Linked DNA regions of Caenorhabditis elegans. The protein of the gene in region 4 interacts with the protein of the main gene of each other region in a pairwise test. Each region holds a gene or a part of one and is shown on either strand. Other genes may lie near its edges.

Region 1 (7,492 bases), about 10 Mb from region 4:
TCGTGCGAAATGTCGTCAAATCCGGTGTTTTGGGTTACTGTAGCCTGGTGTTTGCGTACCCGGCACCCGATTTGACGGGATTTTGCACTAAAATTCTGAAAACTCAGGCGTAGGGGTTATTTGCTATGGGGAATCCGAATTTTTAATTGATTTTTCAAAATTTTGAAGTTTGGGCCAAGTTTTCGTTATTAAAAAAACTCACTTTTTTTTAAAATCCTCAAAAGCCTTGTAGAGCTTCTCCGGATGGTCCCGATCGATATTAATTTCAAAAAATTCGGGTTCTGTAATATTGATGGAAACTACCCCTGAAATGGGTAGAACCACCAGGAAAATCACGAAAACTTGCATTTTCGCGGCGAAATTTTGATTGCCTCGGGCTACGGTTGGCTTTTAAGCTTCCGAGTTTTATGGCCGAAATCGTAAAATTTTCCACTTTTTCGGGGGAAAAAGTTGGAAAGATCGGGGTGATTCTGCACATTTCGACATCGAATTTGTTGGGGTTCTTTTATAGATTTTTGGTGTTGACAGGGGGTTGAAAAATTAATTTATGAGCAAGTTATTGAAAATTTTGATTTTTTTCAAGCCTTGTTACATGAAAATTTGGAATCTTCATAAAATTTCCGTTTATTTGACCCCCATATTGGCTATATTCGAGGAAATTTGAATTTCAGACCAGTTTTAGGCCGTTTCGGGCTTTTTGGAGCCCAAATATCAATACACTCAGTTTAATGCCAGTGCGTTTGTAGTAATTTGCCAACTTGTATAAGGAACTACTAAATTGGTTATGTTTGCGGAAAATTGAATTTCAGACCAGTTTTAGGACAGTTCAGGCCGTTCTAGGCTTGAAAACAAATATTGACGGGTATATGTCGATAATTTCAGCAAACGTTTTTGAAAAATTTGAAACTGTGAAATAAAAGTTATTTAAAGGAAAGTTTTGTATTTCAGGCCATTTTCAGGCTCCGGGCCGTTTTTTGCCCAAAATTTCAAAGTTTGTAGAACATAGCCAATATGGGTTTCAAAACTAGGCAAATTTCATGAAGAACACGAATTTTGAGTTCATATTTCTCAAAATTTTACCGGGTGTCCCCGAATGTCCCATAGGTGTCCCATAAGTGTCCCACTCGTGGTTTTCAGGCTATATTTGTCAGAAGTTGCTCTTTTTTTACAGAAACACTTGCATAGATGTAGTTAAGCGTTTATATTGCAAATTAAAACATGAAAAATGGTTTAATTTTGAACGGTTCAAATATTTTTCCAAAAAAAATTTTTTTTTTAATGTACATGGCAATATTTTTTATATCATTTTTATGGATTTGACATTTACATCGGCTATATTTCAAGAAACTGGGCTTGTCGAAATGATTTGGACCGATTCGGGCCGTTTCAGGCCGTTTCAGGCCTGAATTTCTAGATTTTCTGGAACTGCGTTTTCACTTTTAGGTTTTTCTTATTACTGCAAAATTTCTACACTTACCTTGACCTAAATTCGTGGTGCTCATATTTCAAGTCTAGAACGGCCTGAAATGGCCTGAAATTGGCCTGAAATTCAACATTTCATTGTTATGCAAGTTAAATCAAAAGGCTGAAAATTATCTTGAAGTTTTAGGTGAAGAAAATCTATTTTTCAATAAATTTTGAGTTTCGGGCCAGTTTCAGGCCGTTCTGGGCCGTTTTTTGGCCAAAACGTCCAAATGTTCAGAGTATAATCAATATGGGTGTTAAAATTTTGCAAATTTTATGAAGAACACGAATTTTACATTTTTATTGTTTAAAATGTCCCCTGGTGTCCCCGAATGTCCCATAGGTGTCCCATAAGTGTCCCTCTCATGGTTTTAGGCTATATTTGTCAGAATTTGCTCATTTTTTTTACAGAAACACTTTAAAAATTGTAATTAAACGTTTATTTTATGAAAAATGCCAATTAAAACATAAAAATTATCAAAAAATTACAAAAAAAGTTTAATGAATGCAATCAGTGCCCTCTCCTGGGTATCTGTTAGCCAAATTGAGGGTTCCGATGTCGAAAAGTTGAGCTTCTTTGGATCCTTTACCAACTGCATTTTTTGGAACATGAATAGTCACTTTTTTTGGGCAGAGCTGAAAATTTCAAAATTTTTGAATTTTTTTTAAATAGGAAAAAAATCGAATTTTTTCAATTTTTTTCTCCAAAAACCTACTCCAGAATAGTTGCATTTATGATAAATATTGATTTTCGGGTCAATCTTGCGGATTTTATTCTGGGATCCCGAGACCTTGAATGTTCCATCAGCAATTGTTTTCACCGAGTCCATTTTCGTGTCGTAGACTGCAGAAAATTGTATTTTTGTGAAATAAAATGTTCAAAGTTAACATTTTTGTTGTTAAAACTAGGAAATTCAGATTTTCCAGGTCAAGACAAGAATTTTGACACCCATATTGACTATGTTCGGACAAATTTGAATTTTGGGGTGTGTGACCGCGACGCGACCGCAACGCGGCGAAAATTGAAATTGCATTTTTCATGCTTCAACGCGGTAAGTTTTTGAGTTATGATTAATACAACGTCTTTGTTCAAAAATGTTTGCCATTGTGGAGCTTTACAATAATTTTTGCATTTGACACGCGACGCGACCGCACCGCACTCAAAAAACCAAAGTTATCCGAATATAGTCGTTATGGGGGTCAAATAAAAGCTAAGAACGTCAGAAATACAAAAATCGTAATTTTGATCCTTAAAAACGAACTGCTCTAATTTTACGGTAAATAGTGACTATTAGAAACCGCGACGCAACCGCGCCGTGCCCTAAAACCAAAAATTGTCCAAATACAGGCAATATGAGTGCCAAATTGAAGCTAACAGCGTGGTGAGACATTTTCAACTTGAAAAAATCGAATTTGAAACTTTCAACTTACTAGTTCCATCCTCGAAAAGCTTCACACGGACGTCTCTAGCCGGTGCTCCGTTACAGACCAGTTTGCCGACCACAGTGACCGTCTGTTTACTCCCAACAATACCTCCCAAGGCATCAGTGAGCAGAAAAACAGTGGAAATGAGCAGAATTTCTTTGAACATTGCTCAGGAGTCGACCGGGAATCGATAAGAAATCCAGGAAAATGATAAGAAATCAGGGAAATCAGACGAGATGAGAAACGGATAAAAGTCGGCGATTAGGTGATTATCTAACGGAACAGTTGTTGTTTAGTGTAAACATGCCGCTGGGGACCAGAAAAACATGTTTGTCACCCGAAAATCCCATAAAAACCGGGAGCAAAACTCACGGAAACTTCCTGAGAATCTGCTCAAACGATGCTCAAACTTTGTCTGCTCTTCCTTGCGACTTTAGCCGTGGCTCACGGGCTCGGCGGAATTGTTGGTAGAAAGCAGACGGTTACTGTAGTTGGTAAGCTCACTTGCAACGGCCAAGCTGTGAAGGATGTGAAGATCAAGCTGTATGAGGATGGAACTGGTGAGCCATTTTTTTTTCCAGTTTTATGTTTTAATTTGTGTATTTTTGAAATTCTGACGTTCTTAGCTTTCATTTGACCCCCATATTGCCTATAATCTGACAACTTTGGTATTTTGAGTGCGGTGCGGTCGCGTCGCGGTTTCTAACCGTAACATTAGAATAGTTCGCTTTTAAAGGTTGAAAATACGATTTTTGAATTTTTGACGTTCTTAGCTTTTGTTTGACCCCCATTTTGCCTATGATCAGACAACTTTAGTTTTTTGAGTGCGGTGCGGTCGCGTCGCGGTCGCTCAAGTTCAGAAGCAGTCGTAGCAACGAAACAATCAGTTTCTGGAAATCAAACGCGTGTATTTCCTTAATTTGTAGTTTATAGCTCTCATTTAACACCCATATTGTATATATTTAAAGACATTTGATTTTAGCCATGCGTCGCGGCCGCGTCGCGGCCGCTCAAATTTGCAAACAAGCGTATCACTGAGGACTGTGCACGTTTGAAGACATAAAAATTTCAGTATCACTAATACAAACTTAGAAATCTCAAATAAACATTAGTTTATTCAACATTTTGAAGCAAAAAATCACCGTGCGTTGCGGTCGCGTCGCGGTTTAACCAAAATCTTCAAAATTGCCGGAATATAGACAATATGGGTGTCAAATTGAAGCTATTGACGCCACGAGTTTGAATTTTGTAAAATCCTAGCGATCTGATCATTTTTGGAAGCAAAATGCCCCAAATTGCAGTCTATGACACCAAGATGGACGTTACAAACACATTGGCAGACGGAACCTTCAAAGTAGTCGGCGGCCAGAATAAAATTCGCAAGATCGACCCAAAAATCAATATTTATCACAGATGCAACCACGTCGGAGTGAGTTTCAGCGAAAAATTTCGACTTTTTTTCAAAAATTTTACTGAAAAAATTCTCAAAAATTTCAGCTTTGCCCGAAAAGGGTTACCATTCATGTTCCGAAGAACGCAGTTGGCAAAGGATCCAAAGAAGCTCAACTTTTTGACATTGGAGTTCTGAATTTGGCCAATAAGTACCCAGGAGAGGGTACTGATTGCATTCATTAAACTTTTTTTTTGGAACTTTTTGATAACTTTTATGTTTTAATTGGAATTTTTCATAAAATAAACGTTTAATTACACTTTTTAAAGTGTTTCTGTAAAAAAAATGAGCAAATTCCGACAAATATAGCCTAAAACCACGAGAGGGACACTTATGGGACACCTATGGGACATTCGGGGACACCAGGGGACATTTTGAACAATAAAAATGTAAAATTCGTGTTCTCCATAAAATGTGCAAAATTTTAACACCCATATTGATTATACTCTGAACATTTGGACGTTTGGGCCAAAAAACGGCCCAAAACGGCCTGAAACTGGCCCGAAACTCAAAATTTATTGAAAAACAGATTTCCTTCACTTAAAACTTCAAGATAATTTTCAGGCTTTTGATTTAACTTGCATAACAATGAAATGTTGAATTTCAGGCCTATTTCAGGTCATTTCAGGCCGTTCTAGACTTGAAATATGAGCACCACGAATTTAGGTCAAGGTAAGTGTAGAAATTATGCAGTAATGAGGAAAACCTGAAAGTAAGAACGCAGTTCCAGAAAAACTGGAAATTCATGCCTGAAACGGCCTGAAACGGCCCGAATCGGTCCAAATCATTTCGACAAGCCCAGTTTCTTGAAATGTAGCCGAAGTAAATGTCAAATCCATGAAAATGATATGAAAAATCTTGCCATGTACAAAATTTTCCAAAAATGCTTGAAATCTCAAAATTTAAAAAATTTGAAACTTGAAAAAAATTTTTTTGTTTTGGAAAAAATATTCTAACCGTTCAAAATAAAACAATTTTCAAAATATACAAATTTGTTTGCATTTTTTATACATATTAAAGCCAAATTTTTAATGAATACAATCAGTAGATTCTCCAGAGAACTTGTTAGCCAAGTTGATAGTTCCAATGTCATAATTTCTAGCATTTTGTCCGCTTCCGCTGACGACAGCGTTTTTTGGAATGTTGATGGACACTTTTTTCGAGCAGAGCTGGAAAAATTTGAGTTTGAAATCGAATTTTTTTTTTGAAATAAAAAACTCACCCCGTTATAATTGCACTTGTGGTAAATGTTGACTTTCGGGTCGATTGTTCGGATTTTATTTTGATCTCCGGATACGCGGAATGTTCCGTCTGATCCAGTCTTTACACTGCCCATTTTGCTATCGTAAACTGCAAAAAAAATTTTTTTTTTTTGGAAAATTTTTTGATTTTCTGAAATCTGTTAGACTACGATAGTTTTGAGTGGAAAATTTGGATTCTCCTAAAAATTTGCAAAATTTTGACACCCATAATGGCTATATTTGAGGAAGTTTGGATTTCAGGCCGGGCTCAGGCCGTTTCAGGCCGTTTCAGGCCATTTCAGGCCGAAGCTTTTACGATTTTGTTTACAATTGTTTTTGACCCATAGTTTTAATAAACAGTATACATTTAGAGCTCAATCTTCGTAAAACTTGATTTCGGGCCAAAAAAGGGCCTGAAACCGCCTGAAACTTAACCACTCCCGAATGTAGCCGATATGGGTGTTAAAACAACGGAAATTTAGTGGAAAAATTGGTTTTTTTAAAACTAAAACAACGCAAAACATCAAATTTATAGAAAATTTGAAGAAAAACACTTTTTTTTAAAAATTTTTTTGGGCCAAATTTCAAATACCGCTTGTTTCCAGCATAAAAGATGTTAAAAATTAGCTTAACCTCTAAATTTGCAAAAATTTAAAACCCATATTGGCTATAATTGAGCAAGTATGAATTTCAGGCCGGTTTCAGGCCGTTTCAGGCCGTTTCAGGCCGTTTCAGGCCTTAAATATTTAAAATTAAAACCAGTTCAGATTTTCTTAGTGTTTTAAAATTATGACAACTACTTCTTAGCATTTTGAATATTGAGCCTTATTCGGCCTAAAACGGCCTAAATCTGGCCTGAAATTCGTGGTGTGTCGAATATAGCCGATATGGGTGTCAAATCAACGGAAATTTCATGAAAAATTCAACGGTGTATATTAAAATGCCTGAAAAGTTCAAGTTTTCGAATTTTTTCCCGAAAAAAAAATTTCGAAAAAAAAAGTTTAAAAAAAATTTTTTTTTTCTAAACTTACATGTTCCATCCTCATACATCTTGACAAGTACATTACTAGCAGGTTGTCCATTACAAATAAGCTTTCCAGTTACAGTAACCCCCTGCTTGGAGCCAATAATGCCCAGCAGGCCGTCAGTAGAGATGACTAGTACGGAGAAAATGGCAAAAAGTTGAGCGGAAATCATAATGTTTTGGGTGATGAGGTAACCTGTGTTGGTTACTCGTTCAATTTTTACCGTTTAAATACCCACCGATGAGTCAATAGGCTCCGCCCACTTTTTCATAAACAGTTATTTCGAAAGGCGATGAACAAACACGTCACTTTTTGGGAAATAGCGCGGATTTTTGAGAGATTTTTTGGTAAATGGGCGAATTTTTTATTGTGAACAAACAGTAGGTGTTTACCAAAAGTATGACCCCTTGGGAAAACGGAAGAAAATGAAGAAGAACTTTTGATTTTCGTGATAAGAAGCTCGCGAAAATTCTGAAAAATTTGGAAAAAATGATGAGTTTTGGCAGAAAAATGGAAAAATCCACGTAATTTTAGTCAAAAACGCCAAAATTCCAAAAAAAAAATTTTTTTCGATTTTTGCGTGAAATTTCAAAATTTGACCAACTTTTCTCAATATCCCGCCCAATTTTTAAAATTTGGCCTAGTATTCAAACTCTTCTGCCTATAATTTTTTACTTGACCTACTTTTTTTCAAATTTCCCGCCTAAAATTTTAAAGTGTAACAGAATTTTCGAATTTCAGGCCAAAGTTTTGCGTTTTGAAATTTGACCTACTTTTTTTTCAAATTTCCCGCCTAAACTTCAAATTTTGACCTATTTTTCTTGACTAAATTTTGATATTTAACTTGCTTTTTCAATTTTCTTGCTTAAATTTCAAAAGATTTGACC
Region 2 (7,093 bases), 2.0 Mb from region 4:
TTTTTTGTGTCCCAATAAATATAGAGTCAATGATCACATGATGTTGGAGAAATTGTGTGTTCGCCATAGTCATTGTCTTGTCCAAATATCTAACGCTAGCTACACTCTAGCATGCTGCTCACTTCTATCTTTCCCATTCTTCCAACTCCCCCCCATTTCAACAATATGTGGTCGTTTGTGTCAGTGTCCGGTGGACGATGGCTACACTTTTGCCGCAAGAATTGTATCCAATCGGGATCAGGTTCACTTTTAAAATTGAACCCGGTTCGGATGTTTCGCTTTTGATCTCCTAATCCAAAAACCTGAAACTGTATTTTTAAAAACGTTTCTATTATGGATTTAATTCCAAAAATTGAGAAAACTATATTTAAAGAAGAAATTATTGACATGGCCTCCATTCCATTTCTTTCTTATCATACATTTTCCCACAACTGATACCATGTGCAGCCTATTCAAAGGGTCACTTTTTGCTGAAGTGTGTAGAACAAACATGCAATCCGAAATTACAGTTCCACAACTGTTTACTCTACAATTTCCTTTTCACATTTTCTTCCTGTTTCAGTGCCGAGAAATTGTAGCTAGTAGCAAACAAAACAACGCCGTGAAATTTCGTCCTTGAAGTTTCCCTTTCCCTCCCGAGAAACATCCAAGTTCTCGACGGTTATATCGATAATTATCTTCTTTTTGGTCGAACTTTCTGTCTGTTAAAATAATGATAGGTTACGGTTGAAAACATAAATCTAACATTTTTTCGAGATTAGACTTGAGATCAATCTATAAAATGAGTCAAGTCGTATGAAGTTTCATCTACATACTTGACCACAAGTTGATCACTGAATTGAACTGCGCCTAGATCTCACACTATACCCGAAAACAATCTCCACCCTCCCAATTAAATAGAAATAGTGACATCATTCAAACCTAACTAACTTTGTAAAATGTCTATTGTTTTTAGATTTGCGTAAATTCTTATACTGAACGTATTTTAATGTTTCAATGAGTTGTATACATCTAAATTGTTATAGACAAAAACGTTTCCAACAAATCATCATTCCAAATTTCGGCAGTTGATAACTGAAACTTAGATTTCATCAGTTTTCTAGACTTCAATTTCACGAAATATTTTGCTAACGGCGATTAAAATATTTTGGCATTTCTCTATATGATTGGTTACTTGTTTGCGCGACTGTCGTCATGTGATCATCATTATTCTGACCGCTTCCTTCTCGTCTCCGAATATCGTTTTTTTTTCGTTGACTTGCCCCCCTCCGCCTTCTCTGTCCTTCATGAAACATACATCATCTACCAGAAAATTTATTTAGGCAACTGCGTTTGATAATGATAACTAGGCAGTATATAACCCCAGGCTGACCCTTGAAGGTCACGTTGACCATTCTGAAAACGCTCGCTATAAATTTAATTTTCCTTCAATTTCATTGCTGATTTTTCAGAAATGGCATTCACCGAACTAGTGGAAACCCAACGCAAGTACTTCCGTACAGGAGAGACAAAACCAGTCAAATTCAGAAAACAACAACTTCTGAAACTTAAAAAGTTTATCGAGGAGAACCGCGAGGCTTTGTCAGAAGCTGTTTGGAAGGATTTGAGAAGAGTAAGTTAGAATTTTCAAGTATAAAATTCAAATTTCTAACATTTTCAGCGCCATGAATCCACTGAAATTCTAGAAATCGGAATGACCATTCAAGAGATTGACTATTTCTTGAAGAACATTGATGACTGGGTGAAGCCAACCCACGTTGAGAAGACCTTCACAACTGCTCTCGATAAGCCAGTAATTGAGAAAGATCCAAAAGGAGTTGTACTCATCATCTCCCCATGGAACTATCCGGTCTCTATGATCCTTCTCCCAATGGTTCCAGCAATTGCCGCCGGAAATACAGTTGTGATCAAACCATCCGAACTGTCCGAAAATGTTGCCGCAACTTTTGAGAAGCTCATTCCAAAGTATTTCGAGTCAAAATACGTGACTGTCGTGAACGGAGGTATCCCAGAGACTACCGATTTGCTCAAAGAGCGATTCGATCATATTCTATACACCGGATGCCCACCAGTTGCCAAAATTATTATGACAGCAGCTGCAAAGCATTTGACACCAGTCACATTGGAATTGGGAGGCAAATGGTAAGTCTATAGATTGATTTTTGAACAATTTCAAAATTTAATTAATTCAGCCCGGTCGTTGTTGAAGATGATGCTGACATTGATATTTCTGCTAAAAGAATCGCTTGGGGAAAATGGCTGAACTGCGGACAAACTTGTCTGGCACCAGACTACATTCTTGTGAATAGCACTGTGAAGCCGAAGGTCAGTTTTAGTTAAAAAATTAATTTTTTTGTTGATTTTTCCTCCATTTTTGATCAATGATATGGTTGGTGATGACAGAGATACAAACTGTTTGATAAACAATTATTGATATCGCACCCTACAGCTAACTAGACTACAAAAAGAATATCCAAAAATTTCAGCTTGTTGCCGCAATCCGCAAATATGTGAACGAATTTTATGGCGAGGATGTGAAAGCAAGCAAGGATTACGCGAGAATGATCAATCAGAGACATTTCGAGTTAGTTTATTTAACTATTTACAATATTTATATAATTTAATCTGAACTCTTCTTCCAGTCGCATCTCTGGGCTTCTCGATAAAACTCAAGGAGCTGTTCTTATCGGTGGAGAACGTGATCGTGCAGATCTCTACATCCCTCCAACTGTCCTTGACGTTGAGAAATCTGATCCATTCATGCATGATGAGATTTTTGGTCCAGTCCTGCCCATCATCACTGTCCAGTCTTTCTCGGAGTCGCTTGAGTACATTGCTGATGGAGAGAAGCCTCTGGCTGCTTACATTTTCACAAGAAATGAAGCTAAAGTTAAACGCCTTTTGAATGAGACTAGCAGTGGTGGTGTGACTGTTAACGATGTGTTGATGCACATTACTGGTATGCTATTTTAATTTTAAAATATCTGAATAATTTTTGAATTACAGTTGATACTCTCCCGTTCGGAGGAGTAGGTGTCTCTGGAATGGGACGTTACCGTGGAAAGTATGGATTTGACACATTCACCCATGAAAAGTCTGTGCTTCACAGAGGATTCTTCGGAGAATCTCTTTTAGCGTACGTTTTTTCCGAACCTTCGATACCTAATCGCATTAATTTCAGAGCTCGTTACCCGCCACTAAGCCAACAAAAGCTCGATCAAATGCGACGCCTCACGGGAAAACGAATCTCTCTGAATCTGATGAATGTTGCGACTCTTCCTATCGTAATGGCCTCATTCGTTTTTGGAATGCTCTTCCAGGTATGCAGAGGAAAATCAGCTCAATAGATTCTCACACAGTCAGCACCTGCTTCACTAGATTAATTCACAAATCGCAGTACAATTTTTCAGAAATGTTCTAGAAATGTACAGGATGATTAATTACTGCGAAAATACGTGATATTTAGCTTATCATATTCACATATTTTTGTTGCTTTCCAATTTGCCTCACTAACTTATGTCCAAACATCTAACAATAAACTATTCAAATCAGTTATTGTACGGATATTTCCCGTTTGTAACCTCCAAAGGCTCCTTATGTTTCGAAGGTCCTTCACATCCTTTGTTTTTATGCTTCAGCTAACTAGTACCAATTCGATAACAAATAAATACAGAAAAAATAATACTAGTTTCAGTTCATTTTCCGCTTCTCGGCATAAAATCGAGACATGCTGGTGGAGGTGGCAAACGCGAAATGGCGTACAGTAGGCTCGGTGTTTGCGGACTAGTCGTGCGGTCAATGTTCACTCTTACGTACTTTCACACCACTATTCTTCTTCCGTCTCGCCCTATTTTTTAACTTCTTTTTTTTTTCACAAATTCCTAGTCAATTTTTTCACCGGATCTTCTAATCATTCCATAAACTCTAGTCCATAACCAATTCCCGCATGAAAAGTGTCCCCAAATATTAAAAATTCGTGTAGTTTCAATTTAAAGCAATAATTTTATTAATTTTCATTCCCGATATTTTCAGAAATATGCTCGCAATCTTCATTGATCCGCCAAACGTTCATTTTCATTTTTTTTTTAAATTTTCCTCCCCTCTCTTGAGTATGTTTATTTTTGTAAATATTTTAATAAATCATTGTTTTGTGGAATTTTGCGCTTTGTTTGATTTTCCTGGTTTCCGGTGCCTTTTCTTCGATACTTATAAACATCCTTTGAACAGAAAACAATTTCTAAATTTATATTCAGGTATGTTCCGCGCAGTCCAATCAGTCCGTTCTCTTTCGACCACCGCGGCTTGCCGCCAGGACTTGATCCAGCAGACTTTCGTCACCAAGATCCGCGAAATCGCCAAGAACGCCGGTAACCTGGCTAACTCTGATCCAGCCGTTAAGAAGGCTCTCCAGGAAGAGCTCAACAGATTGGCCACCAAGTTCCAGCTCGCCAACGCCGATGTTGTTTCGAAGCTCCCAACTAACTTTGAAGCTGCTAAGGTAATATAAATGAAGACAAACAAACAAAGATTTATTTAAAAAATAAAATTAGCTAAAAAAAATTTCAGTTACAAAAGTATCGCTCGATTGAACAATTTTTAAATGAATTATCGAAGTAAATTAAAGAAACATCCTTATTTTTGTCGATTAATAACCAAAATAGTTTCAAATAATTTTTAAAAAATCAGCTTTTGTTTTTGTAAATATATTTGATAATCTGAGAACCAGAAGTAACCCGATTAATGTATATCTTATAAATTTTAGATTATTAATAGGCTGTTCCAAGTGCTGAGTTAAAAAAAAACATTAAAATGCTCGTTTCCAGGTTGACTCTGCAGTTCAATCCGCTCTTGAAGGACAAACATTGGCTTCGCTTCTTGAAGGAGTCAAGAAGGACCACTCTGAATATGTTGCCTCCCGTGATGCCAAGAAAGCCGAACAAGCCGCCCGTAATGCTGCCCTCAAGCAATAAATTTAAGCTCTCGATTTTGAATGGTGTATTGTTTCTTTTTGTAATAGATCGTCTATAGACCGAATGAACGTTTTTGTTCCTTAATTTTTGAAATTTCTCTCTGTTCTTTTGTAAACTTTGTTGTTTTAGTCACGAAGCTTATTTTTATTATTCTCATTCAAAATTTTTCGATAAAGTGGCTTGTTATCAGCCATTTTAAACTCGTTCAATCAAATCATGGGTTGTACAGTTGTTCTACGAGCAAACATATTCAAACTCTTCCCCAACCCGTGAATACTCTTTTGAACGGCACCCCATTGCCGATTTGGGGTGCACCATTAGGCAGACCTGTCTGTCCGCAAGCCTCCTACGTCATCACACAGACACTAACCCAGCACCATTGCGCAGACGCGACAGACGACCTTTTATTTGCTACTCATATACCACACGATTTCAAATTGCAGGTTTTCGTTCCGCCGAAATGGATTCAAAACTCTAGTCATTTCAAAATTAATAAAAGGTTTGTGTTTTTTTCTCTCACGCATTTTTAAAATTCCATTTCCAATATTTAAGATGGTCGAATTTTCAAAGGAGTCATCGACCAGAGTCTCTGTAAACTCACAACGACAAATATCGCATGTCCAGAAACGAGAGCTCACGAAGCGAAAGGTTCGTTACTGATGTAACAGATAAGATGGGAAGTAGTGTAGGCGGGATTCTAATGGAAGACTGGAAGGTCAACCGTTCGATATGACATCATTGTGACCCCATGATGCTCGTCGGAAGATAGGGATTCTTTTTTTTTTTGCGTATCTGCTACGTGGTTATTATGCGTTGTTCAAATACTTTAACAAGAACAGTTTCTCTATGGCATTCATCTTATGATCTGGTAAGATTTCCATTTAAAGAAACACATTTCCTGAGCAATAAAAGTATGAATAATAACTCATTAATTAATAAACGTATTTTGCAGAGTGTCCGATTTGAAACACAAACTGTGGAGTCAACATCCGAATTTGTTGGTAAAACGAATCAGGAATGGACGTTCGTCGCTGATTGCTTGTATGTTTCAAGCTGTAATTTATTAAAACTATTTTTTAAAATTCCATTTTTCCAGCAATCTCGACAAAGAAACTCGAAGTGAACGAGAACAGGAGCTTCTCTCGCTGTGCAACTTCTTCGATTCGAATGAGAAGGAACTCGAGTTGAGCGGTATTAAATTAAAATTTTAATAATCCAGTTATCAATAAGCGTATTTTAGATGCTTCTGACGAATCGGATGACTCGGTTCCATTCGAATTATTTGCCGAGCAGGGAATGCGAATTGCTTGGACTCAAATCGTTACGTAAGGATTATTTGATGGTTTATGTTGTTTTAAAATTAAATTTTTTAGCTCACCGTCATTGAGCAATCTTCGCTTAGCTAGCATTCTCCGCTTCGATACAAAAAAGAAAATAGTTTCACCCTTCATTGAGTGAGTTTTTCTGATAAAATGCCCGATATTAAAATGAATTATTCTAGAGACGAAAAGAGTCCTCAAGAGTTCTTCTTGGACGACAACGAAGCGGTCGAGAATGCTTTCAAAGGTGTCTTACCATGCACAAATTCTCAAAAAGTGAGCAGGTCACGTCGAGCTTCAAAATCAGAAGAAGAAAACGATTTCGTAACGGCCAAGGGATCCGACTTTTGGAGTGATGTCGAATTTTAAGAAAGACCACGCAGCAGAAGCAACAACTACAATGTTCACAAATCCCAATGCAAAAACTGACCGATTAACGGATTTTATCTACTATCAAGAGCTTTCAACCGTCTTCCAAAGAAGAACATCTATTCGTCTCCCCGCAATTCTATATATAATTTCGTTTTGTCTTATCTCAAATTCTGTTCGTATTTCATTTACTGATCAAATTTACTCTTGTTCTATTGTAAATCATGTCCTTATTCCTAATCTCCAAAATTTTTTAAAAATTAAAGTTACCATTCCACTAATTTTCATCTCTTTCCCTCAACCCATTTCATTCCTTTCGCCGATACTCTAAAATTTAATGTGCCTTTCTTTCATTTAATTTCAGTTCATCTCTCAATTGCCTTTTTTCAATTTGCAGAAACTTTATTTATTTCCATTTTATCATCCAATGCCGTT
Region 3 (8,816 bases), on a different chromosome or scaffold from region 4:
CAAAAGATCATAACTGAACGTCTTCCCATTTTTAACCGCACTCTCTGCAATTGGCCTGTAATCTTCCTTATTCTTCGGACATCCATCAGCTGACCATCTGTACAAGTCCATATTAAAATAATGTGCATGGTCGGCATTTGACAGGTTCTGCACCTGACTGCTGAAAAAATCAAACATTTTTGTTGATAGTTGCTGATAAGAAATGTTGCGAAAACCTGCAAAACGGTTGATCTGCTTGCTCGCAAATGACAAAAGAGTCGCCTTCACGCATATCATTGTTGTACCAAACTTCACTTCGTGGGTGATAAAGTGTTGTGTTATCAATATTATCAAAGAAAGGGAGACGTGGTGCATAGTCATGTGCGTGGATAATGTGGTAAGAATATGGAAACTGAAATATGAACTTTTAAACTTAGACGTTCTCTATTTATCTCGTTACGTTGGTACTATGCCACATTGCAAAATCATAATCTGTACATCTAGGACATCCAAATAAAATTACTTTCATATTGTAAGGAGAGCTCATTCCAGTTTGAGCAATGAATGCAGATGTAAGTAATGCAATTGATGCACCCATCGAGTACCCAGTTATCTGAAATTCTGGGGTTGAGGGGATTCACTTCAGGTGTTGAAAATGAAACGAAATGTTTTTAAGAATTCGTGATACTGAAACTTCACTTCCCAACATTTTAAAAGTTAAGGTTTAAATTAATAACAAGAACCGTACTTCGTGTGACGTCACACAACTCAAACCTTGACTTCCCGCAATATTCATGTTGTCGTGTTTATTGTACTGTCTTAAACTATACATCCATACTTAATAATTTTCAAACCCTTTACCCACCCATAACTGATAATCCGGATAGGCATCAATCAAATTTTGCAAATCTTCACCCAATCCACTATACCATAATGATTCAAAGTTGTCATTAAACTTCTTCGTAACTCTTCCAATATTTAGAAATGGGACTGTTCCACTGAAATTAATCTGATTTTAAGAGTAAAATATGTTAAAACCAACTTAAAATTTCCGATTTTCCACAAATCATAATATTGATGATCACCGTGTGATCCACGAACCGAGAGAACGATTACTTTTCGGTCGAAATCAATTCCAGTGTATCCAGAACAAGTTACATCTAAAACGAAGCAGTATGATTGAATTCCGAGAAAAATTTGGATTTACCTGAGAAAAGTGAGGAGCAGTTTGCCTCACGCCGTTTATAGACTTTCATAGAAGGAAGTTGGTTGCTGAAAATTCTTATTTTGAACATTGTCTTATTAGTTTTTATTTCAGTATTTTATTTTTTTAAATATATTTTTATCGAAAAATATAAACAATCGATTCAAATTACCCAACAACGAAAAGTTAGCAACTACAGTACACCTTAACGGCGCACGCTCCTTTGAATTTAAAAAAAAGCGATCGCTTCGAGACCGGGTACCGTATTTTCTTAGAAATTTGTTTTGCTTCTTGGCAATAAACTATTTTCCTAAACTCACTCAAGACATTTTTGTGGATTATCTGTCCCGGTTGCAGCTATAACAGGTAAAACTGTATTTCTGACAAAATCGTCGTCATAAGCATACTGTAGTGCTGGTACAGATGGACAATTTATTGGAAGCTAAAATTGTTTCTTATTACTTTTATTGGGCCCACAGACTTACATCAACTATCCTATTACATTTTGTCTCAATTGTTAACACATCAACTATGCATTGATTATTATCTAAACAAAATCTGAAAATCTTCAATCAAAACCTCGCAAACATCATTTGAAACTAACTGTCCTCCATCCTGTAAACACTGCCAACAAGTCTTAGCTGTAAGTCTCAGAAATAAATGAAGCAAAAGGTAAGCTGCAGGGGATGCTGTCATCTTTCAAAGAGTTTTACCTCGAGGTGAAATGAGCCATTCGATAAGGCGTGGACTTAATCAAAGTTTCGATTCACGGAAATTGATGGGAGGAGGTGGGGTTATCAGTACGTGCACTTTAAAATTCGCAAAAGATGCGGCAATGATTTTTGCTTCTAGAACATTTCTTTGTTGGTGAAAGAACTTTATTTGGAAATTTCTTCCGTCACAAAAAAATTATAAAGCCAATGTTCGGAGCAATTTTAAAACCGGGAAAATTAAAAACGGGTTAAATATGGGGGACTAAATATCACGGGGTGACAATAAATAATATAATTAATCTGAATGATAGCTACAATTCAAACTATCTAAGCTATATCTCTGATCGAGTATGAACTTTGTGGGATACGGGCAATAAATAAAAAATTCTAAAGGAAATTACAAAATTCTGCCAATTCGGATAGGCTAAGAATGGGATGTACATAAATACACAAGATATAGGGTACCAGGGATTGATAATAATATAGAAACATGTTGGGGGAAATGTCAAGAGACGAGAAATAAAACATGAAGAGAATATTACATAATGAAAATTTAACATGATTACTTGAAGTTTACAATGGAATCTAGGGGAATGGTAGAGTTGCACGGAGAGATTCACACGAAAATATGGTACTTCTTTTTGAAAAGGAAGAGTTTCAAAATTGAGCAGAATTCTCGGAATATTAAGGCAAAACTTTAAAAATATGAAAGGGGGTGGTAGGGTGCGGATAAAACGGTGGAATACTTTTTAGTGAGATAAGAGTCTCAGAAACTATAGGAGGGAGTGGCAGAAAACTGTCTCTGTGACTGATCTCCATACGCTAAGATTTTTGCCGTAGTAGATTGGCTAGATGGATGGAAAACTGGAGCAGGCTTAAAACCAGAGGAGCGATGTGGAAGATGCTTGAGAAGCTGAAAATAAAATACTTCTGAATACAATAAAGATATTATTTTATTAGAACTGACTCTTGTTTGATCTCCAGTGCGCACCATTGGATAATGCTGATCTTCGAGCTTGTTATCTTCATTCTTTCCAATATGCATGCGATCCCAACAACCTTCACAGTAATATTGAAGACAGGAAGCATGTCCACAGAAGTATGGAGCATAGTTATGCTTGCACAATCTTCCTTCACACTCATCACAGTATTGTTCTTCCATCACATACGGCTTGATTTCAACCTAAAATTGTGAAGTTAAAAAACTCAATTAGTTCTAATCTCGACTCACTCGTTTGTTATTTTCGGCATGATTGACCTGCACGAAACGACCCGATATGGCGCGAACAAATGCTTGAGAAGTTGAGAAAGTGACTCGGGCAGCTCCTTTTGGGTATTTCAACTCTGGATCAATATCAATTCCCACATACGACACTTTTCCATAGTGACCTTCAAGACAACGTGCAAGATCTTGAGCACGGGTCGGACGAGGAACGCCACCAATGAAGACAGTGCGACGATGATCGACCGAAGAGTTGTCATTACAGAAGTAGTCAATGTCGGAAAGACGCCAAGGCCGGACTTGGACTGCTTTGTCGGTCATCGTTGGAGAAGACAACTGAAGGTAGTATCTTAAAAATAGCAATATTATTATTATTATTATTATGAAAATTCAATCTTTCACTAACTTATCTTCATAAAACTCGCATGCATTGACTAGCTCCTGGACAGACCGCTCGTGAGTGAAAACGAGAAAAACATATCCCGTTACAGCGCGTGCTGTAAATAGTTTATCTTTGTTGATGATGTGTACGAATATAACATACAACCGCTTCCTTTTTTCAATTCCTGTTCAGCTCGTTCTGCATTGTGCTCCGGGCGACGAGGCCAATCAATCAGCACCTTCCCGAAAGCTCCGAACGTGGCCCAAACTTGCTCTAGAAACTTTCAGAAAATTAGAATAATAATTTATGACACAAAATACCTTCTGAGACGTCGATTGGAAGACCGCCAATAAAAACCTTGCGGGAGTATAGCGGTTCAGCTGAAATCGGACGTTTTTTCGAGGCCTCCAAACAACTTTTTGATACGCCCATTAGTGACCCATCAAGGCGTTTGTATTCTGGTGGAGCAGATACGGCTTGGGGATCGGTCACTTCCATGTAACGGTGTCCGTTGATCTTCTTTATTTCTACCATACGATTCGCGTGCGTTGCATTCTTTTTAATATGTGGGAACCGCTGGTTGTACGATACATGAAAACTGTTGGGCGAAATGAAATGCTGCATAGGTGCTTGGTTATAATGAGACATTGAATAGGAACTGTTTTGAATTGCATTCAACGTATCTGAAAATTCAACAATAGGTATGAAAACATGAGTATAACAAACGAGCAAATTGAGCCATGTTCATTGCCGCGGAAGCATCATTGATGTCAAATGATTGTTTGTAAGGATTGACACTCATTAACGGAGGAACATCTCCAGACGCTGCTTGCATTATATCCATGTTATTGTAAAATGTGGCGTGGTTCAAGAATTGGTATCCATAATTCGAGGGATCATCTGCAGTCAGCATCTCAGTGGGGTCGAAAATTCCATGATTCGCCGACATTCCTCTCATTTTCTTCTGGGCCTGCGAAGTCAAAAATGATACACTGATATCCAGATTCGTTTTGTCTGTAGACAAATATGGATTTCCATGTCCTCCCGATTTTTTTGACTCGGTTGAACGGCGATGGCCATGAGACGATCGAACTGGAGCAGATGTCTTGAAATCCCCACTTGGACTCAGCTGATACTGCATCTCTCTGAAAATAGTTTTAAAAGTTATTCAATTATTTAAAATAGACAATAATTTAGAAGATTGAGACAAAAAAGCGATGAAAAATTGCTCTTTAAAAATCTTTTTTTTTGCAGTGCAGCAGAGCGCATTTGCATTTCTCAGATTTTCGCTTTTTTTCTGCAATAGAAAGCAAAGCTTTCGAAAAGGACTATAATAAATCTGTTTGCACACATTTGGCCAAATTTAAAATCACAGATAACACATAAAATCGCGTTTATAATCACAAAAATATAAAAAACTGAAAGTTTCTTTAAATTTTGAACATTCTTATATGCAAATATTATGACAAGAACCGCAATGTTCTCACAAATTCGTATACGAAAAAATTATTCTCTGAATAAAAATTTAAAAAAGCGAACTTGTGGAAAAAAGTATTTTAGCATGGTTAAAGAAATTTTGAGAACACTGAACAGTGTGCGTGGCAAAACTTGACACTGACCCCATGGCCTACTTTCCACGTATTTCACGTGTTAATTTTTGCGTGAAAGAATTTTATTTTCGTTTCGAGGAATTCATGAAGAAGTTCTAATAAATTTGACAGAACAATGTTCGGTTTAAAAAATTTTAGATTCAAAATATTCATTCTTTCTCAAAATTAAAAATTGAAAGGTTATCAAGGTTGAGCATATCCAGTCGTATTTTTTGGACACCCATCCTTTCCCCAATTTGAAATATTAATATCGAAATAGAATCCATGATCATTCATATTCAATCCTTCTGTAACTGCATCACTACAGTAGTCTCCATCGGCTTCTTCACAAATTTGATATGTGTCATTCAATCTCATGTAGTTATTGTACCTAAAGAGTATTCAAATCGAAACTTTCAAGTACTATGACTTACCAAATTTCAGTTCTTGGTTGAAACATGACAGTTGTATTGGTATGAGGGTCAATTGCTGGAACTCTAGGAATAAGATCCAATCGGTGAATTATATGGAATGAATATGAAAACTGGAAAATTATCAAATGTTCATGAAACTTGAAATTTTAGACTCACTGTGGACGAATACCACGCTGCAAAATCGTAGTCTCCTATTTTCGTAGGAGCAAGAACAATGATTTTCATATTTTCTGGTTTGTATAGTCCAACTGTTGTTAAATATGAAGCTGTAGTATATGAAAGGGCTCCTCCAAGTGAATGCCCATTTAACCATAACTCAAAGTCAGGGTACTTGTACTTCAAATATCGTAAATCTTGATTAATCCTGTCGTTCCAAAGGAGCATGAAAGAATCGTAGATCACTTTGAAGATTTTACCTGTACCTTTGCCAAAGTATGAATGAAGACCACTGAAACCAATATAATAAAAAAAAGAATCAAAACATACTCTCGAGTCATTCCTTCCAGTATTTGATTGTTCTGGTTCGGTCCATGAGATCCTCTATAAGATATGACAATAGCTTTTTGAGTGACATCATAAGCAGTATATCCATAACATGCCACATCTGTTATACAAAAAAAAATTGATAAATATTACTATATTGAATCATACCAGGGTAGTCTGTTGAACAATTCACAGTTCGAACTTTGTAAAGCTTCATTGTAGGAATTTGGTTGCTGGAATTATTTTATACTGAAATTATTTGAAGCTTGCTCATATTTTTACTCAAGACACAGCTGAGGATTGGCATTATGGGAAGCCGAGGCTAGAGCCAACATTTGAGTACGTGCAAAATGTTCATCATATGGAACTTTCGGTTTTGTGGGGCAATTTAGTTGGAGCTGGAATTGTTGAATAAGTTCATCTATATATGAGTATCAGGTCTCACCGAGATTTTTGTACTGCAAGATACGAAGCTTGAATTGCACTGAGACTGTTCAACACACCATCTGAAAGTTTAATAGAAAATATTGATTTAATGACATCAAATCAAGATTTTGTCAGCTATAGGCCATTCAAAAATTAGTCTTGCAGCCCTAAAGCCCAATCAAAATTTTATTCACTATTGAAAAATTATTTTGTGGAACTCAGCTCGGACGCTCTACATTGTTGAAAAATTTGACAATTTACCACAACCTAAATTGAAAATTTTGAAACATCTGAAATTCTTAACTTTGAAGATTCGCCTGTACCATGATAAAAGTATTTGTACTGAACCCCAACTGAACATACTACACCTTCAAAGCAACTCACACTTGACCTGATCCAACACAATTTGAGCAGTCTAACGAAGAACTTGATGTAAATGGATAAATTCCGAGCGAAATAAGAAAAAGCAGAAATAAAACTATCATTTTTGATCGTTTGGAGAAAATTCAACAATGATGAGTACAATAAATGATAAAATGATACCAGGACGGCTCTTCTTTTCGATCAACTCTTCAAGACTAATGGTCAATGAGAAAGTGATAAGAATGAAGAAAAACAAGTTTTATATGAATACCACGTTGTGTGTATGTACTCATCTATTCAAACAGACCTGTTGGTTGACTAGAACACTAAACTTTAGGTTTACTGAAATCTTTTCAACAAATAATTACTTTTACTTTTACCAGCTTTTTTTTAGAAATATTTGTTCAAATTTCAGGTTCAGTCTAAAGAAGATTTTATATCAACAAATGTAATTATTTTCCGATACTTTATTTCAAAAAGCGATAAGAGTGACCTGAAAAACAAGTTATTTTTGATTACATCTCGTTTTTTTGGTGCCACTATTTGCACACTGTTTCCTCCATAAATTGATAATCTCGATGATTCATGTTTTGAAAAAAAAACAGAAAAAATGAAGTATGGAAGAAGTTGATCAAGTTGAACATTTTCCGGTGGACCCAAAGAATATCGACTTTTTCCAAAAGTTCGCAAAAGTTGGGCAAAACTTGGTTTAGGCAATGCAACAAGAATATACTAACAAAAAACAAAAATCTAAAACTAACAAAAAATTACGGCAATCATGGTAAATTGAAATTTTTCAAATCATTTAGAGAATTAAATCATAAAGAATTATGTTAAAAATAATTCATTTATTCAAATAAAAAAGATATGAGAGATGTGTAAATAGTTTTTCATGGCTGCGAATATCCAGTCGTATTTTTTGGACACCCATCCTTTCCCCAATTTGCAATATTAATATCGAAATAGAATCCATGATCATTCATATTCAATCCTTCCGTAACTGCATCACTACAGTTATTTCCATCCGCTTCTTCACAAATTTGGTATGTGTCATTCAATCTCATGTAATTGTTGTACCTGGAAAAATGTTTGAAATTAAATGTTCTAACTTTCAATAAGCAATCTCACCAAACTTCGGTTCTTGGGTGGAACATCACAGTTGTATTGGTATGAGGGTCAATTGCTGGAACTCTAGGAATGAGGTCCAATCGGTGAATTATATGGAATGAAGATGGGAACTGAAAAATTAGAAAACTAATTTGTATCAAAAGATTAAACAATACCTTATTCGAATACCATTCTGCAAAATTATAATCTCCTAATTTCATCGGAGCAAGAACAACAATTTTCATATTACGTGGTCTGTAAAGTCCTCTCGATGCTATGTATGAAGCCGTCACATATGAAAGTGTTGCTCAAAGAGAATGTCCGTTAACCCATAAATCAAACGTTGGATATTCAAGTTTCAAGTAAATCAAATCTTGTTTCATTCCACCGTTCCAAAGGAGCATGAAGGAATCGTAAAGAACTTTGAAGATTTTCCCGGAACCATTTCCAAAGTATGGAAGAAGCCCACTAAAAGTTTTCATTTATAATTTAAGTAGTATATATTCAATCTTACTCTCGAGTCATTCCTTCCACAATTTGATTATTTTGATTTGGTCCTTTGGTTCCTCGAAATGAAATGACAATCACTTTTTGGGCGGTGTCGTATGCTGTGTAACCGTTACACTCCACATCTAAAATAACAATTAAAAAATAAATTATGTGCTTGAAAATATATAAATTAATACCTGGATAATCGGCAGAACAATTCACAGTTCGAACTTTGTGAAGCTTCATCGTTGGAATTTGGTTGCTGGAATTATTTTATACTGAAATTATTTGAAGCTTGCTCATATTTTTACTCAAGACACAGCTGAGGATTGGCATTATGGGAAGCCGAGGCTAGAGCCAATACTTGAGTCCGTGCAAAGTGTTCATCGTATGGAACTTGAGGTTTTGTGGGGCAATTTAATTTG
Region 4 (7,591 bases):
GATACCCAAACTGTAAACATCGCCTTCTTTGGAACCTTTGATATCTTCAGCTCTCAGCAGTTCTGGGGCACTCCACAGTAAATCTGAAAGTGGATATGGTGATTTCCAAGAAAAATCAAAAATAAAATTTTATTGCAAAGCCAGAGCCAGAGATCAGCAACGTAAAAAGTATCGACGTTCTCAAATTATACAGTGTTCAGATCCTATCAGATCCCTATTTAGTGTAGTGTAGATCCTAATAATCTAAAATAGAATATAAATAAAACCTTTTTTCTCGTACATCTCCGGGGACCGCAAGTCTTGTAATCCGTAATTGGAAATTTTAACCTGCCACCTGTCATCTATCAGGCAACACTTGGATGTTAGCATTCCGTGATATCCAACCATACTTCCGTGAAGAAATACAAGCCCCTGAAATTTCGCGGTTTCTGGAGTTAAAAAAAACTTTCTTCACTTACATGAACCATATCTTTGATAAGTGAGTAAATGAAAAAATTATCCATTTGAATTGTTGCCTAAAAATCATATTATTTTTCAAAATAAAATTGAAATTTGCTCACTTTAAGAATGACATCTGCGATAGAACCTCTCGAGCAGAATCTCCAAACAGAAAGCATTTGTGGACCATCCAGGCAGAGCCCAATAAATCTGTTCAAGTTATCTTGATCCAAGTTTCTCAACTGAAACATTCTTATAGAATAATGTGTAACTTCTTCCATATTCATACCGATCTCATGAAAGTACACTTATCATCGTCTAATCTTGGTCGGTACGCATGCTTTTTTGCAACAACTGGCTCATAATCGGATTCTCTCTGAAGACTGAAGAACAGAAAATTCCTGGATTCGGTTTTGAATGAGACAGTTGTTCTTGATGAAAGAGTGCTGGTTCCGCTTTGAAGACTTCTTACACTGTGCTCTCCTTTTCCTTTTTGTTTGGACTAAAAAGTTATGAGTACTACAAATAAATATTCACATTGCTCAACTTACATTGATTTGATGAAGATGAATGAATGGAATTTGCCACAGTCTATTTAATCTTTCAATTTCTTGTCTTCTTGCTTGAATGGAGAAATAAATTCCACATGCTGCAGCAGTTATTGCCAAAAACAGAACAACAATAGCCACAATAACCCATATGAGATATTCATCAACGAAACTTTTCGGACACTGAAAATATTTTAATTGATTATGGATTTCTGAAGCTCACTCGTACCAGATTTCCTGTAAAACCACATAATGGCACATCAACAGGACGAGCGTTATTTTTTCTAGATGCCCACATTACACCTTCATCTGAATAAAGAGCGTTGAAAGTCTGAAATGTATACGATATATTTTGACAATCCCGACTGATCGATATATCTTACCGCACTCATATTTTCTACATAAATAGTTGCCATTCGAGTATTGTTATTATTTTCATCAAGAGCCAAAAGAAAAAGAGTTGGATTACGAGTGCCTTTTTCATTTATGGTAACATTTCCAGACATTCCAATAAAACTTTGAGGAAAATATCTCATGAAGGCAGTTGCATTACGATACTGGGCTATTTGTCCCGCTTTCAGCATTTTATCAAGTGCAACACCGTAGGCATACACAGCATCATGCAGTTGACCAGCATAGGTGGCAGCCTAAAATATTGAACGATAGTTTTACATTTTTGGAGTAATTTAATAGTTTGATGAATAACACACGCTTCTTTTCTGAAAGTTTTACTTCTTCAATACCTACCACTGTAAAGTTTTCCCCTTCACAGTCCTTTGTACAAAAGTAGGGAGCCTCTTTCATTCTGGCAATTATTTCTTGTCCGAATATTGTATAATTCGTTGCAATTGATCCTTGTCCCATCATCTGAAACATCATGATTTTTTGGCCTTCTTGGGTGGCTTCCGTCAGATAAAATATATTAGTTTGATAAGGCTACAAAAATGAAAACCTACGTCACAAATAAAAATGGATTGCTTGAAAGCTTTTAAAGCTCGTGTGTCGTTTTCATCAGACCCAGTAGATAGAATCCAAGATGGACGTTCACCTCCTCCAAGCAATGGAACAACTGAAATAAAGAATGTTTCGAAATACTTTCATGTGGATCCTACCGTATCCCTTTGATTTAATATCAGAAAAGACGTAGACGTATTCATCCCCAATCATTCCAGCTTCTTCCGCTGCCAGCAACCACTTTCGGCGCAACCCAATTCCATCCTTCATACATGTTACAATTACTGTAATTTGAGAAATGTGAATATTAAAGTTTAAGTTAATCTTACTTCTTCCTCTAGATTGAATCTTTTTCAGAGCCTCAATCATTCCATCATTTGAAATGTCGGCAACCTGGATGGAATAAGCAAGAATGATGTCTCCAAAGTATGATACTACTTGCTGAAATTCTCTTGTATAAAGTTGACACACCTTTGTAATAAACCTGTAAATCATTTCTCATTGTAACACATTTCTCCGTGTCTTCTTCAGTGAAATAAGCGTATACAAATTGACTCCACTCATATCTTTTCAAAACAGCTCGAATAGCAACTCCGAGACTTCGCTGCCCCGCCGACAGAATTCCGGCATTTGGAAATCTTTCGAAATCATCTAACTGAGCAGCGTTTACAAGACCCCACGCAATAATTGGTCGATTGAAGTAGTTAGATACAATAAAAGCAGCTAGCGTAGCTGAAAACATAACTGGTTTTTAAAGATTGGATCCAAAAATTAACTGTTACCAAAACATTTGAAAAATTTACTTACGCTGGTTCATAGTGGGCCCAATGATGACGTCCACGTTGTGCTTCTCTATAAGATCAACAGTCATTCCAGCGGCTTCAGATTCTACGCAATCGTCAAATTCAATAGTAAAACTGAAATTATTTTCAAAATTTACAAGATGATATGAACTATTAAAACTCTTCAATCCGGCCTGTCTATTTTTTTTTACAAAACAGTATGGCATTAGAAATAATCTACTTACTTGAATTCCCAACCACTCATTAGATTCTCCCTTTTCAATCTATCAACTGCAATTGAAGCTGCTGCTGCAGATGTACGATATCCAACAGTGATAGGTGCACTTTGAAAGTCTCTACAGTGAATAAATCCCACTCGAATCACATTTCCAGTGGTACCTGTTGCAACTTGGGGAAACATAGGTTTAGGTAACAACTGAAAAAAAATCATTTTTATTTTGTGGAATTCGCTTTCAAAACCTACCGTAATCACTAAAAACAAAACTAGAGACATTGAATAGAAGGGCTTCATGATTATTTTCTTATGCTAAACTGGCAGACAGCAGATCTTTTTATATCTGCACAAGGGGCGGTGGGATTTATAGAAACTTAAGTTTACTACGCCTGCCGCCTAATCCGTGAAACCTTATTTTTATATTTTTCCGCCTCCCGAAACAGTTGATACGTGAAAAAGCACGGAAGAGAAAAAAGCTTCTTTTGGACTTGATTAATCTGTTGGTCATGAGAAAGCGTGACACAAGGTAGGTTACGGTAGCAATTGCGTAATTAATCGGATCAGTCTATGCGCATTTCTGAAACATTGGGGATTTCAAATCTAGTTTATCAAACAGATACAAATCACATTGACATCTCGTGGAAACAGTCTGTAAAGTACCGCAAATTTTACAATTTTTGATATTATTGTCGTTAAACAAGTTCCATTTCAAATTTTTTATTGAATACGGTAAAAAAACAAGAGAGGCAGCTGGTTGAAGTGAGTCACTCTTGTTGAGTTTTCGTTACTGGAAACCTGAATGAAGATAGTTTTTAACTTTAGCATTACGCCTCATTATTTTCCTATTTCCTTTTTACTATTTTACTTGTATTTTTAAACTTTGTTTAGCACATTGAGCACATAAAACCAAATGTTATAAATATCCTTATCATCAACCCATCGGTTTCTTTTTAACTTTTTTCTTTCTCGAATTTCAATGACCCGGAAAACCACCACATCATATGAAAATCGAATCTAAAAATTTGCAGATACGCATCTGTCCTGCTGCGCTCTTTTTTTATTTTTGAATGTTTTTTTTTCTGCAAACGTTGGGAACAGTCATCCAATCCTTCAACCGTTCGTCTCGTTTTGAATGACAAACGTTCTCTTTCCGTCCTCTGTTTGAGTATATTTACATTGCTAATTCAAAAAAAAATAGTATAGAATATAATGATACTTAGAGATAGTTCTGGCATAAAGTTTAAACTTGAATGAAATCATCAATGCCATTAATAACTGTGTCACTGCATTAGTTTATCAGCAAGTGTGCCAGCAAAAAAAACGTTTCGAGACGATTCGATACATTCCTGAAAAACTTCGATAAAAGGGAAGTATCCAAACAACCACACCCAACTTTCATCATTGACTCGCTGTTTTGCTTTTTATTTTTGTTAATCTTCCTTACAATTAGTTTTAAAGTTTAAAACAAATATTACATGTTAGAAAGAACTGTATTTTGGTCAGTTTGTTCGAATAATTTCGAAATCTAAAACCTTTTCTTTTTGATGATTCGTCGGAGTAGATGTTTCTCGAAGGAGGTAAAAAAAACCGTGGGCGATTCTTGTTTGCATTGAGGATAATAGAGCAGTAGTAGAAAAGCAGGGAGTGTCAACTCAGTTTTGTCTTCTTCTTCCCCTATTTCTGTCTTACTTTCGTTTTGTTTCTTTGAAATAATTAGATTTTCAGAAACTATTATAAAATGGATCGTCGTTTTCCACCATTCTCCCCATTCTTTAACCATGGCCGGTAAGTTTCTAAATTCTCGTGTTTTCGGAAACTTCTATAGTTGAAGTAACATAACTTTCTGTAAATTTTCTTCTTTAATAAGTGACGTCACTCAAATTGTACTCTGCGCCGCTAGTTCTTAAAATACACAAGAATTTAATTTGGCGCGATTTCTAAAAATAAGCTAGCGAGAGGACTTTGTACTCCAGTTTAGCAAATAATGCTCTGAAAAATCATAAAGACTGGAGATTTTGACATATTTTTCTGCAATTAGAAAATTAGAAAATTAACTTTAAAAATTTTACAAAACTCCTACAAACAAGTTTTCTAGCAGATTCTTCGATGACGTCGACTTTGATCGCCACATGATCCGACCATACTGGGCCGATCAAACAATGCTCACTGGACACCGAGTAGGAGATGCTATTGATGTTGTGAACAACGATCAAGAATACAATGTATCTGTAGATGTTTCACAGTTTGAACCAGAAGAGTTGAAAGTGAACATTGTTGATAATCAGCTAATCATCGAAGGAAAGCATAACGAGAAGACTGATAAATATGGACAGGTGAGGGTTTCCCTCCTTCTTGAAAAACTCAAGTTTTGTATGAAGCTAGTGCAACTTGAAAATGTTTTCATGCATCCTTAGATTAGCTCTCAAGATCCTGAAACCTTACTCGGAAAAGGGCAAAAAGTTATCCAAAATAAAGGCCAAGAGTTCTAGATTATCCTTCCGCCTGTTACGCAATACAAGGAAGCCAAGCAACTCATTTCCGAGCTTATAACGAAGTTGTACTAAAGTCTAAAACCTCGTTGTGCATACTTTCAGGTAGAGCGTCACTTTGTCCGGAAGTATAACCTTCCAACAGGGGTCCGTCCAGAACAAATCAAGTCCGAATTGAGCAACAATGGAGTGCTCACTGTCAAATATGAGAAGAATCAGGAACAGCAGCCAAAATCCATTCCAATCACAATTGTGCCAAAGAGAAACTGATTTCAGTTACCTAAGTGTCTGTATTTTAACTATTTCAAAAATATTTATTCAATTCCATTATTGAAGTGACAATATAAACATTTTGTTTAGACTCCAACAATCTTTTGAACCGTAATGAATAGAGCATATGGGAACATGGATGGCCTCTTCACTTTCACATAAACTGAGCAGAAGTTGAAATCATCATAATAATCATAATCGATTCGAACTCCTTGTGAGTTTAAATCAACTTGCATTGAAGCGATTGAAGTATCGTTTGGTGATCCAATCGTTGAGAAAACCTTGAATTTAATCATGAAATCTTTTCAAATAGTGACGAAATTATACCTGTTGTGCTAGAGCAAGTGGAAGACTTCCATTGATAACTGCAGATGATACAATGACGTTTTCGAGTGTTTTATCTTGACAATGAGATTGACACCATTGAACTTGGGATACATCTTTTCCGCAATTGGAAAGTGAAGCGTCTGGAAATTTCTTAAAATCGATAGGAAATCTTTTAAAATTAGTTTAGAATACTGATGCAACACATTAAACATGATAAGATTCATTCTTTCCTGTTAGCAGATTAATTTATAATTGATGAGCTTTCTCTATCAATGACGTTTTTTTTTAGATAACTCACCAAAGTTGGTATTAAGTGCAACGTCGGTCTTGACTTTTACAGAAGAATCAGCAAGCTTCACATGGGAAGAATAAGTGAGAGTATGTGACATAAAGTCGTTCTATAACAATTTATATCAAACACTAGTGTTTTCTAATTTTGAACCCACATTGACACAGAATCCATTCAAACTGAAATAATTATCTGGCTCATAAGCATTGAAGAAGATATTCTTAGCATGTACTTGTGCCCATGTAGAAGGTTTTTGTGTCAAATCACAGGTAACACTGGCTCCAGCCAAAACTGTAAAAGTCGAGAGCAAGACAAACAAAACACGAGAGCACATGGTTACTACTGATAATGAGCCATATCAATTTCCTTTTATAGACGAAATTTTTGTAACTCTTTTAGTGACACTTTCTGGTTTCTGAAACTGATTTGGTTGTTTGCTTTGCACTTATCGAGAGGTTGAAGAGTGGGTGGAAAGTCAAAAATCCGATTAAAACAAGGAATAGTATTCAGGAAATACTTTGAAATGTTTTATACTTTATCATGTCGTTTATCAGGTGATTTGATATTCAAGTGCCAGAAATTATTATATTCTCGTAACTGAAAGTCACCATTCATTTATCATTTTATTCAACCCGAAAAGAATGATGATTACGTGAAAGTTTCTATTGACTATCTACATTGAATGATAATTATTTTCCAGCTGGCTTGAAATAATGCACAGGTAGTTTTGAGCCAACTCCAGAACCAACAAAACATTTGCATTTTCCGACTCGGCATGGAAGACCATAACAATTGTCTGATGTTTTTGTACATTTTGTTTGATGGCAGAATGTCAGAAGTACTTTGACGAAAAGTTTGTATCCGTGAGAATGGAATGCATTGACACAATCACAATTTCCATTGGAATCACAACCATTTCGTAGGCCACCACAATCCAAATCACTGCTGCACTTTTTGTTAGTAATGCAAGCATTACAGTCACATAGTCCAAGCTCACTTCCGAAACATTTTCCCTGAAATTTACAGACTTACATTTTTTAGTGTACCTATTAAGGGGGAGCAATGCCCATTGGATTTAATTTAATTTAATTTAATTTATTACGATAGTAAGATATCGTGAGGTAGAGAAAAAAAGAACACACATTAATAGATACAAACCATCACAAGTGGTTACATAAACAAATTACATAAATAAAACGAAACAGAAATAAAAAAGAGATGAGAAGAAAATAATGGCTACATTGGAGAAGAAGCAAAAA

What was found.
Region 1: the proteins of hsp-17 (region 4) and ttr-24 interact in a two-hybrid assay, tested with the Caenorhabditis elegans proteins (one large-scale study listed by BioGRID).
Region 2: the proteins of hsp-17 (region 4) and atp-4 interact in a two-hybrid assay, tested with the Caenorhabditis elegans proteins (one large-scale study listed by BioGRID).
Region 3: the proteins of hsp-17 (region 4) and cpb-1 interact in a two-hybrid assay, tested with the Caenorhabditis elegans proteins (one large-scale study listed by BioGRID).

What each region holds. Positions count from the first base shown.
Region 1 is NC_003283.11:18,553,499-18,560,990, forward strand, and holds ttr-24 (TransThyretin-Related family domain), read right to left. Parts: upstream 3,146-7,492; 5' UTR 3,056-3,145; coding exon 2,896-3,055; intron 2,309-2,895; coding exon 2,181-2,308; intron 2,101-2,180; coding exon 1,963-2,100; 3' UTR 1,889-1,962; downstream 1-1,888. Other genes in the region: Y51A2D.8 (Cysteine proteinase), read right to left, coding at 203-348; ttr-25 (TransThyretin-Related family domain), read left to right, coding at 3,290-3,449, 4,191-4,318, 4,387-4,524; ttr-26 (Transthyretin-like family protein), read right to left, coding at 5,368-5,508, 5,562-5,689, 6,612-6,777.
Region 2 is NC_003283.11:6,424,273-6,431,365, reverse strand, and holds atp-4 (ATP synthase-coupling factor 6, mitochondrial), read left to right. Parts: upstream 1-4,253; 5' UTR 4,254-4,255; coding exon 4,256-4,498; intron 4,499-4,823; coding exon 4,824-4,970; 3' UTR 4,971-5,120; downstream 5,121-7,093. Other genes in the region: alh-4 (Aldehyde dehydrogenase), read left to right, coding at 1,454-1,612, 1,661-2,142, 2,193-2,325, 2,487-2,584, 2,643-2,959, 3,007-3,136, 3,182-3,320, 3,411-3,440; T05H4.11 (DUF4706 domain-containing protein), read left to right, coding at 5,523-5,618, 5,923-6,011, 6,067-6,161, 6,211-6,295, 6,344-6,424, 6,472-6,658.
Region 3 is NC_003281.10:9,318,141-9,326,956, reverse strand, and holds cpb-1 (Cytoplasmic polyadenylation element-binding protein 1), read right to left. Parts: upstream 4,648-8,816; 5' UTR 4,642-4,647; coding exon 4,227-4,641; intron 4,184-4,226; coding exon 3,821-4,183; intron 3,774-3,820; coding exon 3,663-3,773; intron 3,616-3,662; coding exon 3,525-3,615; intron 3,468-3,524; coding exon 3,128-3,467; intron 3,080-3,127; coding exon 2,864-3,079; intron 2,810-2,863; coding exon 2,663-2,809; 3' UTR 2,044-2,662; downstream 1-2,043. Other genes in the region: C40H1.7 (Fungal lipase-type domain-containing protein), read right to left, coding at 1-160, 216-391, 440-592, 845-977, 1,022-1,139, 1,187-1,251, 1,504-1,625, 1,669-1,741 and 1 more; C40H1.9 (Fungal lipase-type domain-containing protein), read right to left, coding at 5,294-5,480, 5,524-5,633, 5,680-5,971, 6,010-6,127, 6,175-6,239, 6,289-6,404, 6,452-6,512, 6,817-6,917.
Region 4 is NC_003283.11:8,383,019-8,390,609, reverse strand, and holds hsp-17 (SHSP domain-containing protein), read left to right. Parts: upstream 1-4,682; 5' UTR 4,683-4,695; coding exon 4,696-4,742; intron 4,743-5,052; coding exon 5,053-5,290; intron 5,291-5,551; coding exon 5,552-5,716; 3' UTR 5,717-5,802; downstream 5,803-7,591. Other genes in the region: gcy-7 (Guanylate cyclase), read right to left, coding at 1-83, 267-411, 459-515, 561-680, 728-940, 990-1,169, 1,216-1,317, 1,370-1,633 and 8 more; F52E1.14 (ZP domain-containing protein), read right to left, coding at 5,803-5,997, 6,044-6,183, 6,342-6,441, 6,490-6,666; F52E1.5 (Chondroitin proteoglycan 3), read right to left, coding at 7,022-7,345.